Arabidopsis thaliana: one gene and its partner. Each later gene encodes a partner of the first gene's protein in a complex. Each region holds a gene or a part of one and is shown on either strand. Other genes may lie near its edges. The genes, in order: ndhJ and NdhO. A codon is read from its position in the direction of its gene.

The links.
Region 2: the proteins of ndhJ (region 1) and NdhO are in contact, whole or in part, in a cryo-EM structure (PDB 7WFG), measured with the Arabidopsis thaliana proteins. Residues at the interface, in NP_051062.1 of Arabidopsis thaliana: Ala60 (codon at 2,157), Pro61 (codon at 2,160), Ile138 (codon at 2,391), Gly139 (codon at 2,394), Arg143 (codon at 2,406), Lys144 (codon at 2,409), Asp145 (codon at 2,412), Tyr146 (codon at 2,415), Ile147 (codon at 2,418), Ala148 (codon at 2,421), Pro149 (codon at 2,424), Asn150 (codon at 2,427), Ile154 (codon at 2,439), Gln155 (codon at 2,442); in NP_565093.1 of Arabidopsis thaliana: Ser91 (codon at 2,010), Ile92 (codon at 2,013), Leu95 (codon at 2,112), Asp107 (codon at 2,148), Tyr108 (codon at 2,151), Ile109 (codon at 2,154), Tyr127 (codon at 2,283), Val130 (codon at 2,369), Ile135 (codon at 2,384), Pro136 (codon at 2,387), Thr137 (codon at 2,390), Pro139 (codon at 2,396), Ala140 (codon at 2,399), Trp141 (codon at 2,402), Leu142 (codon at 2,405).

The regions. Positions count from the first base shown.
Region 1 is NC_000932.1:48,006-51,132, reverse strand, and holds ndhJ (NADH dehydrogenase subunit J), read left to right. Parts: upstream 1-1,979; coding exon 1,980-2,456; downstream 2,457-3,127. Other genes in the region: ndhC (NADH dehydrogenase subunit 3), read left to right, coding at 770-1,132; ndhK (NADH dehydrogenase subunit K), read left to right, coding at 1,199-1,876. UniProt on the Arabidopsis thaliana protein: NDH shuttles electrons from NAD(P)H:plastoquinone, via FMN and iron-sulfur (Fe-S) centers, to quinones in the photosynthetic chain and possibly in a chloroplast respiratory chain.
Region 2 is NC_003070.9:28,128,996-28,132,665, reverse strand, and holds NdhO (NAD(P)H:plastoquinone dehydrogenase complex subunit O), read left to right. Parts: upstream 1-1,588; 5' UTR 1,589-1,645; coding exon 1,646-1,868; intron 1,869-1,962; coding exon 1,963-2,018; intron 2,019-2,108; coding exon 2,109-2,174; intron 2,175-2,249; coding exon 2,250-2,291; intron 2,292-2,368; coding exon 2,369-2,428; intron 2,429-2,524; coding exon 2,525-2,554; 3' UTR 2,555-2,838; downstream 2,839-3,670. Other genes in the region: ARR15 (response regulator 15), read left to right, coding at 1-85, 184-260, 469-546, 639-709, 812-1,076; AT1G74875 (F-box protein), read left to right, coding at 2,921-3,005, 3,550-3,670. UniProt on the Arabidopsis thaliana protein: NDH shuttles electrons from NAD(P)H:plastoquinone, via FMN and iron-sulfur (Fe-S) centers, to quinones in the photosynthetic chain and possibly in a chloroplast respiratory chain.

The DNA of each region.
Region 1 (3,127 bases):
TTTGTATTCTTTATTTCTAACAGGTTACTTTTAATTGCTCGGTTCATAAAAAAAATTTCCATATCATAAACCATAAGTCCTGGGGATCGTTCAGAATAAAACGGAAAATTTCATTTTATTTCAATGGAGCCAATCACTATCTATCGATATATCGAGATAGATACTTAATTTATAATTTAGAATAAACCTTTTTCTTCATTAATTTTCATAGTTGTAATTTTTTTATATGAATTTTCCTCGTTCACTAGCTACAATCAAAAAGTTCATAATACTTTCTTTTTTTTTTTGTATCCCCACTCAATCTTGGTTACTTTTTTTATCACACGGCCTTGTTTAAAAATAAAAAAAGAAATCTAATTAAATTCAACCAAAATTCAATCTATCTAATACTAAGTAAGATGAGTATGGTAAAGTCTTACTGGATTTTTTGATACGTCATCATTTAAAAAACGAAGAGATTTTTCGAAAAATTTTTTTAAACATAAACAGAAATAAAAAAAATTACTAGTTATTAATCAGATTAATATTATATTATTATATTAGAAACTATTAGTAATAGAAACATGGAACTATTAAGTAATAAGTGTACTGAAAATAAGAAATCAATAAATCTTAAAACGAGACGTCTACCACAACAACCAAACGAAAAAAAATGATTCGATTAACCTGAATTTTTGTTTTGACTCAAGAGTTCTATATCCCTTGCCCAATCCACTCCGATTGGAATTGACTAAGCGGGTATTTTTTCCACATTCATAGGAGTTCGTCTATGTTTCTGCTTTACGAATATGATATTTTCTGGGCATTTTTACTAATATCAAGTGCTATTCCTGTTTTGGCATTTCTAATTTCCGGAGTTTTATCTCCAATTAGGAAGGGGCCGGAGAAACTTTCTAGTTATGAATCAGGTATAGAACCGATCGGGGATGCTTGGTTACAATTTAGAATCCGTTATTATATGTTTGCTCTAGTTTTTGTTGTTTTTGATGTTGAAACTGTTTTTCTGTATCCGTGGGCAATGAGTTTCGATGTACTGGGGGTATCTGCTTTTATAGAAGCTTTCATTTTCGTGCTTATCCTAATTCTTGGTTTAGTTTATGCATGGCGAAAAGGAGCATTGGAATGGTCTTAGTTCGTTTACCGAATACTTGATACAATAATAAAAAAAAAAAAAGTAAAAAAAACCATTGAAACAATTATGAATTCCATTAAGTTTCCCATACTTGATCGAACAACAAAAAATTCCGTTATTTCAACTACGTTAAATGATCTTTCAAATTGGTCAAGACTTTCCAGCCTATGGCCGCTTCTTTATGGTACCAGTTGTTGTTTCATTGAATTTGCCTCATTAATAGGCTCCCGATTTGACTTTGATCGTTATGGGTTAGTACCAAGATCGAGTCCTAGACAGGCGGACCTTATTTTAACAGCAGGTACAGTAACAATGAAAATGGCTCCTTCTTTAGTGCGATTATATGAACAAATGCCTGAACCGAAGTATGTTATTGCTATGGGAGCCTGTACAATTACAGGGGGGATGTTCAGTACCGATTCTTATAGTACTGTTCGAGGAGTTGATAAGCTAATTCCTGTAGATGTCTATTTGCCGGGTTGTCCACCTAAACCAGAGGCTGTTATAGACGCTATAACAAAGCTTCGTAAGAAAATAGCTAGAGAAATCTATAAGGATCGAATTAGACCTCAACAGGGTAATCGGTGTTTTACTACCAATCACAAGTTTTTTGTTGTACGCAGTCCGCATATTGGAAATTATGATCAAGAACTACTCTATCCACCATCATCTACTTCAGAGATCTCTACTGAAACATTTTTTAAATACAAAAGTCCAGTATCGTCCCACGAATTAGTGAATTAGGGAGGCTTTTAGAGAATCAGAAAAAAATCTTCATAAATTAGAATTAACGGTAAATGTGAAATACTTAATTTTATATAAAAAAGGTGTGGGGGAAATAAAAAAGATGCAGGGCACTTTGTCCGTTTGGCTAGCCAAACGCGGGCTGGTTCATAGATCGTTGGGCTTCGATTATCAAGGAATAGAGACTTTACAAATAAAGCCCGAAGATTGGCATTCTATTGCTGTAATTTTATATGTATATGGTTACAATTATTTACGTTCGCAATGTGCCTATGATGTGGCACCAGGTGGCCTCTTAGCCAGCGTGTATCATCTTACGAGAATAGAATATGGTGTTAATCAAGCGGAAGAAGTCTGCATAAAAGTATTTACTCACAGGAGTAATCCTAGAATTCCATCCGTTTTCTGGGTTTGGAAAAGTACGGATTTTCAAGAACGGGAATCTTATGATATGTTAGGAATCACTTATGATAGCCATCCACGACTGAAACGGATCCTAATGCCCGAGAGTTGGATAGGGTGGCCTTTACGTAAGGATTATATTGCCCCCAATTTTTATGAAATACAAGATGCTTATTGAATGATAAAAAATGAGCCAATAGGATGAACTAAAAAAAAAGAGTTCTGCATTATGAACTTTGTATCGCGCACATAACTTAGTCAACTTTAGTCACATAACTGGGAATGAATAAATAAGATCGGAAAGCAATAAATGAAGGGGGGGATACAATTCTATTTCTATTGTATCTAATGAACCTTGGGGTATTTTTGCCCTTCAACTATAGTATACTATACATATAGACCTTTTTTTACTTGTTTGATTCAACGGAACTCATTTAACCTTTCCTTTCGGATATGTATTATGTATCAAGTATTATACATTCTTTTTGAACGGCTGGATTCACAACATGAACAAAAAAAAGAGAGGGGATAAAGCATAATTGCACTTTTTTTACTAAAGATACGTTTAATTTGAAGAATAAAAACTTATCAAAATTAATAAATCCTCTGCCAAGAACCAGATTTGAACTGGTGACACGAGGATTTTCAGTCCTCTGCTCTACCAACTGAGCTATCCCGGCGAAGGATCATCCTCGTTTTACGAATGGTGGCACAACGATTTCAAGTCCCCCGGAAAAAAGCTATGTCCACCATTAGTCTACTGAAGTATCAAGTATCATCTACTGAAGTATCATGCTCGTTTTCCTAATGGTGACACGAGGATTTCGAGTCCTCTGCAAAAAAGCTATG
Region 2 (3,670 bases), on another chromosome or scaffold:
CCGGAGTTACATGTTCTTGCCGTTGATGATAGTTTCGTGGATCGTAAAGTTATTGAGAGATTGCTTAAGATCTCTGCTTGTAAAGGTAAAAGGCAAAACTGTTTCTCTTTACGTTTTCTGCTTTTCTTTTGTTTGGTTTCTGATTCGTTTTTTTGGATAAATTTGGTGGGTTTCTTTATATAGTGACGACTGTTGAGAGTGGGACTAGGGCTCTGCAGTATCTTGGTTTAGATGGAGACAATGGATCTTCTGGTCTTAAGGTATATATTCATTCATTTCTTAGAATCTCTCTGTTTTCTAGCAAAATCAACCCTAGACGTTGAAACTTGAAGTGTTCTTATGCTGGTTTGGCTCCCAAGAAATCTAAGGTTTCACAATGTGGATCAAAAGTTTAACCTTTAGAGGATGATTTTATTATTTGTTTATTGATGCCGTTTATATGAACAATTTTGCAAATTTTGATAACAGGATTTGAAAGTGAACTTGATAGTGACGGATTATTCAATGCCGGGACTAACAGGATATGAACTCCTCAAGAAGATCAAAGTAAATTTCTATTTTGTGTCATTTATTAGAGCAAGATTTGAATAAGCTCTTCTCGTGTTTTCCTTACAAAAATTCTGTTGTATATTTGCCAGGAGTCTTCAGCACTCAGAGAAATCCCAGTAGTGATAATGTCTTCTGAGAACATACAACCTCGTATAGAACAGTAAGTCACTATAGCTAAAGATACAAAACTGAATCAATGGATCTTAACACTGTAATCTGATTTTTTTGTCTATCCTCTCTTTTGTTGTTGTTGTTGTTGTAGATGTATGATAGAAGGAGCAGAGGAGTTTTTGCTAAAACCGGTGAAATTAGCTGATGTGAAGCGTTTAAAAGAACTTATAATGAGAGGTGGTGAAGCTGAAGAAGGAAAAACCAAAAAACTTAGTCCTAAGAGAATCCTACAAAACGACATTGATTCATCTCCATCATCATCATCAACATCTTCATCATCGTCGTCTCATGATGTTTCCTCCCTTGATGACGACACTCCATCTTCCAAGAGGATCAAATTAGAGTCTAGGGGTTAAATGATTGAGCTCAATCTTTTCTCACGTTTTCTCTTGATTTCCTTGTGTAATATACATTATTTTTGATATATGCAACTATGTAAGTCTAGATTCTAATGCTCACCTTATTACTCTGTTTTTTTTTTTTGTTAAAACAAAAGGAGATCAATGTGAATATGATTTAAACAATTTTATAAAATTAAATACTTTGCCTACAGTATATATATTGTTTCCTACTTCACAACCAGATCAATTAGATTCTATAATGTAACATATAATTTAAAAGTACACGTAAAAAGATTTTGTATATGATCTTCCATGTGACATACACGATTTCACTTGTATGTGTTTATAATTCATAAACTTTCAAGCATCAGAAAACAAAAAAAAACGAATATAATCTTTGTTGGAATACATTATCTATTACTATATTCCTAGTTGTATAGCAGAGGAAACTTGTTTGCACTTACGTGGCATCTTATGATTGGTTCAGTGATGTCTGTTTTAGACCGTTGAGAGACTTGGATACCATTGCGGTCTTATCCCGAAACTCCAAGAACACATAATTTTTTTTCTTGGTGGTCTCTCCAATGGCTTTCTCTGCGACTGTGTCTCAGCTTTCTTCTCTTTCAACCATCTCCTCTTCATTACCAATTTCTTCTAGAAGACTCCCTCATCGATCTCTTCCTCAATTCACAGTCAAAGCAGAAGCAGAGAAAGAGAAACAGAGCACACAGGGCAAGTCTGATGGGGAAGCATCACCAGCTGCAACCAAAACCCCTAAAACCCTCCCCAAGAAACCGGTTTACTCGAGTCTGTTCCCTCACTTTTGTTTCTAAGTGTTGAATCCAATAACAGATTTTTGATAATTCTTTTGAATTTCTGTTTCTGGTGGATGAGAAAACAGTGAAGAAGGGCCAAATCGTTCGTGTGGAAAAAGAGAAGTACCTCAACAGCATCAATGTATAGTCGAAATCTTTCCCAGTTTTGAAGCTGCTTCTTCAAAAATCTGTTTCTGAAACTTTTGTTTTGCTACATTTGTTGAAATTACAGTACTTATCAGTTGGACATCCTCCTTTCTACAAAGGACTTGATTACATATACGAAGATCGCGGCGAGGTATAACACAATCCCTTTTGAAAATAAATCACAAGAGATTTCAAGCTTATTGAACAAGTAATCTAAATCTTGCAGGTCTTGGACCTTCGTGTCTTTGAGACAGGAGAGTATGCACTTGTAAGTCAGTCTCCACACAAATTGTTTATTCTGTTTCATAAGATGAGCTAATGGATTGTGAATTTTGGAGACTTTAGGTTGGATGGGTTGGTATCCCCACCGCACCAGCTTGGCTCCCAACAGATATGCTCATCAAGGTACTCATAATTTTCTCAGTACATCAACAATACGTAGCATTGTCTTGATGTCAAGTCATGATTGTTTCTGTGTTCTTGGTTTTTGTTCCACCGCAGTGTGAGAAACTTGTTTACGAGCGAATGTAGAGTCAAGAAGGTTCCAAGAAGAATCCTTTGGAATGCAACTGATATACCAAGGATTGTGTTAAGCTGAGATGAACGATAACAATGGCGCACCATCATGATCATGTGTTCAAGAGTTTGACAAAGTATCAACGTTACAATTAGTTACAAAAACTGTTGTGGAGTGTGGAATATGTCATCAGACTCCTATAATAAGAATGCAGCTTCAGTAAACGGATGATGGTAATTTTATCTCATCGATCTCCCAACATAAACTCATTTCTCACAGCTTCATAAAATTTCCTCTGGTTTTGTCTTTGGCTTCCACTTTCCGAAAACCGGAAACTTCTTCATCATCACAAATATAACTACTGACCTAATGGACGGATGATGGTAAATTTAGGTGCTCTAAACGACGAAGACAAGCGGAAGTGTGCCAACATGTTTCAAATTCACCTCGTAATCAATGTATTATGTATGTGACTAGGAGAGTAACAAGACACAAAGCCAATCTCATCTCTCACAACTTCATTAAACAATCCTTTCCTCTGCTTTGTCTTTGACTTCCATTTTCTGATAAATTCTTCATCATCACAAAAATACTATTGACGTGATGGTGATGTTAGTGGGTTTCCTATGATTTCTCCTTTTGGGTTTTCCCATTGGTGAACGGTGAATGAGAGAATCTAGGGTTTGGATTTGTTCTCCATACAAGGATTTAATCCCATTATTATGTATTTTTCCTTTTTTTTTTTAAAGCTTTTTTAGATTTTATTTATTTTTAATCTTTTGGCTTATTCTAAACTTTTGTATTACTTCCTTTTCCTATTAGGAATAGGAAATCTAAACATTGTTATAAAAACCCGAGTCAACAAATCAAGAGAGAAAACAATACTCACAATCTTAAACAAACCATAGTACTTTTTCTTCTTTCAAGAATTCCCACAGAATGACAGTTTCTGTTTCTCTAGATTCTCTACCTGAAGACCTTCTTGTAGAGATCTCTTAATGTGTTGCAGCTTCATCATTATCCGAGTTTCGCAATCTTCAATTAGTTTCGAAATCGTTTAAACGTATCAGCAACGATCGATACATTCTGCAGCGGCTTTCCCTCAATAAAATCCCTCTTTTACCATGGCG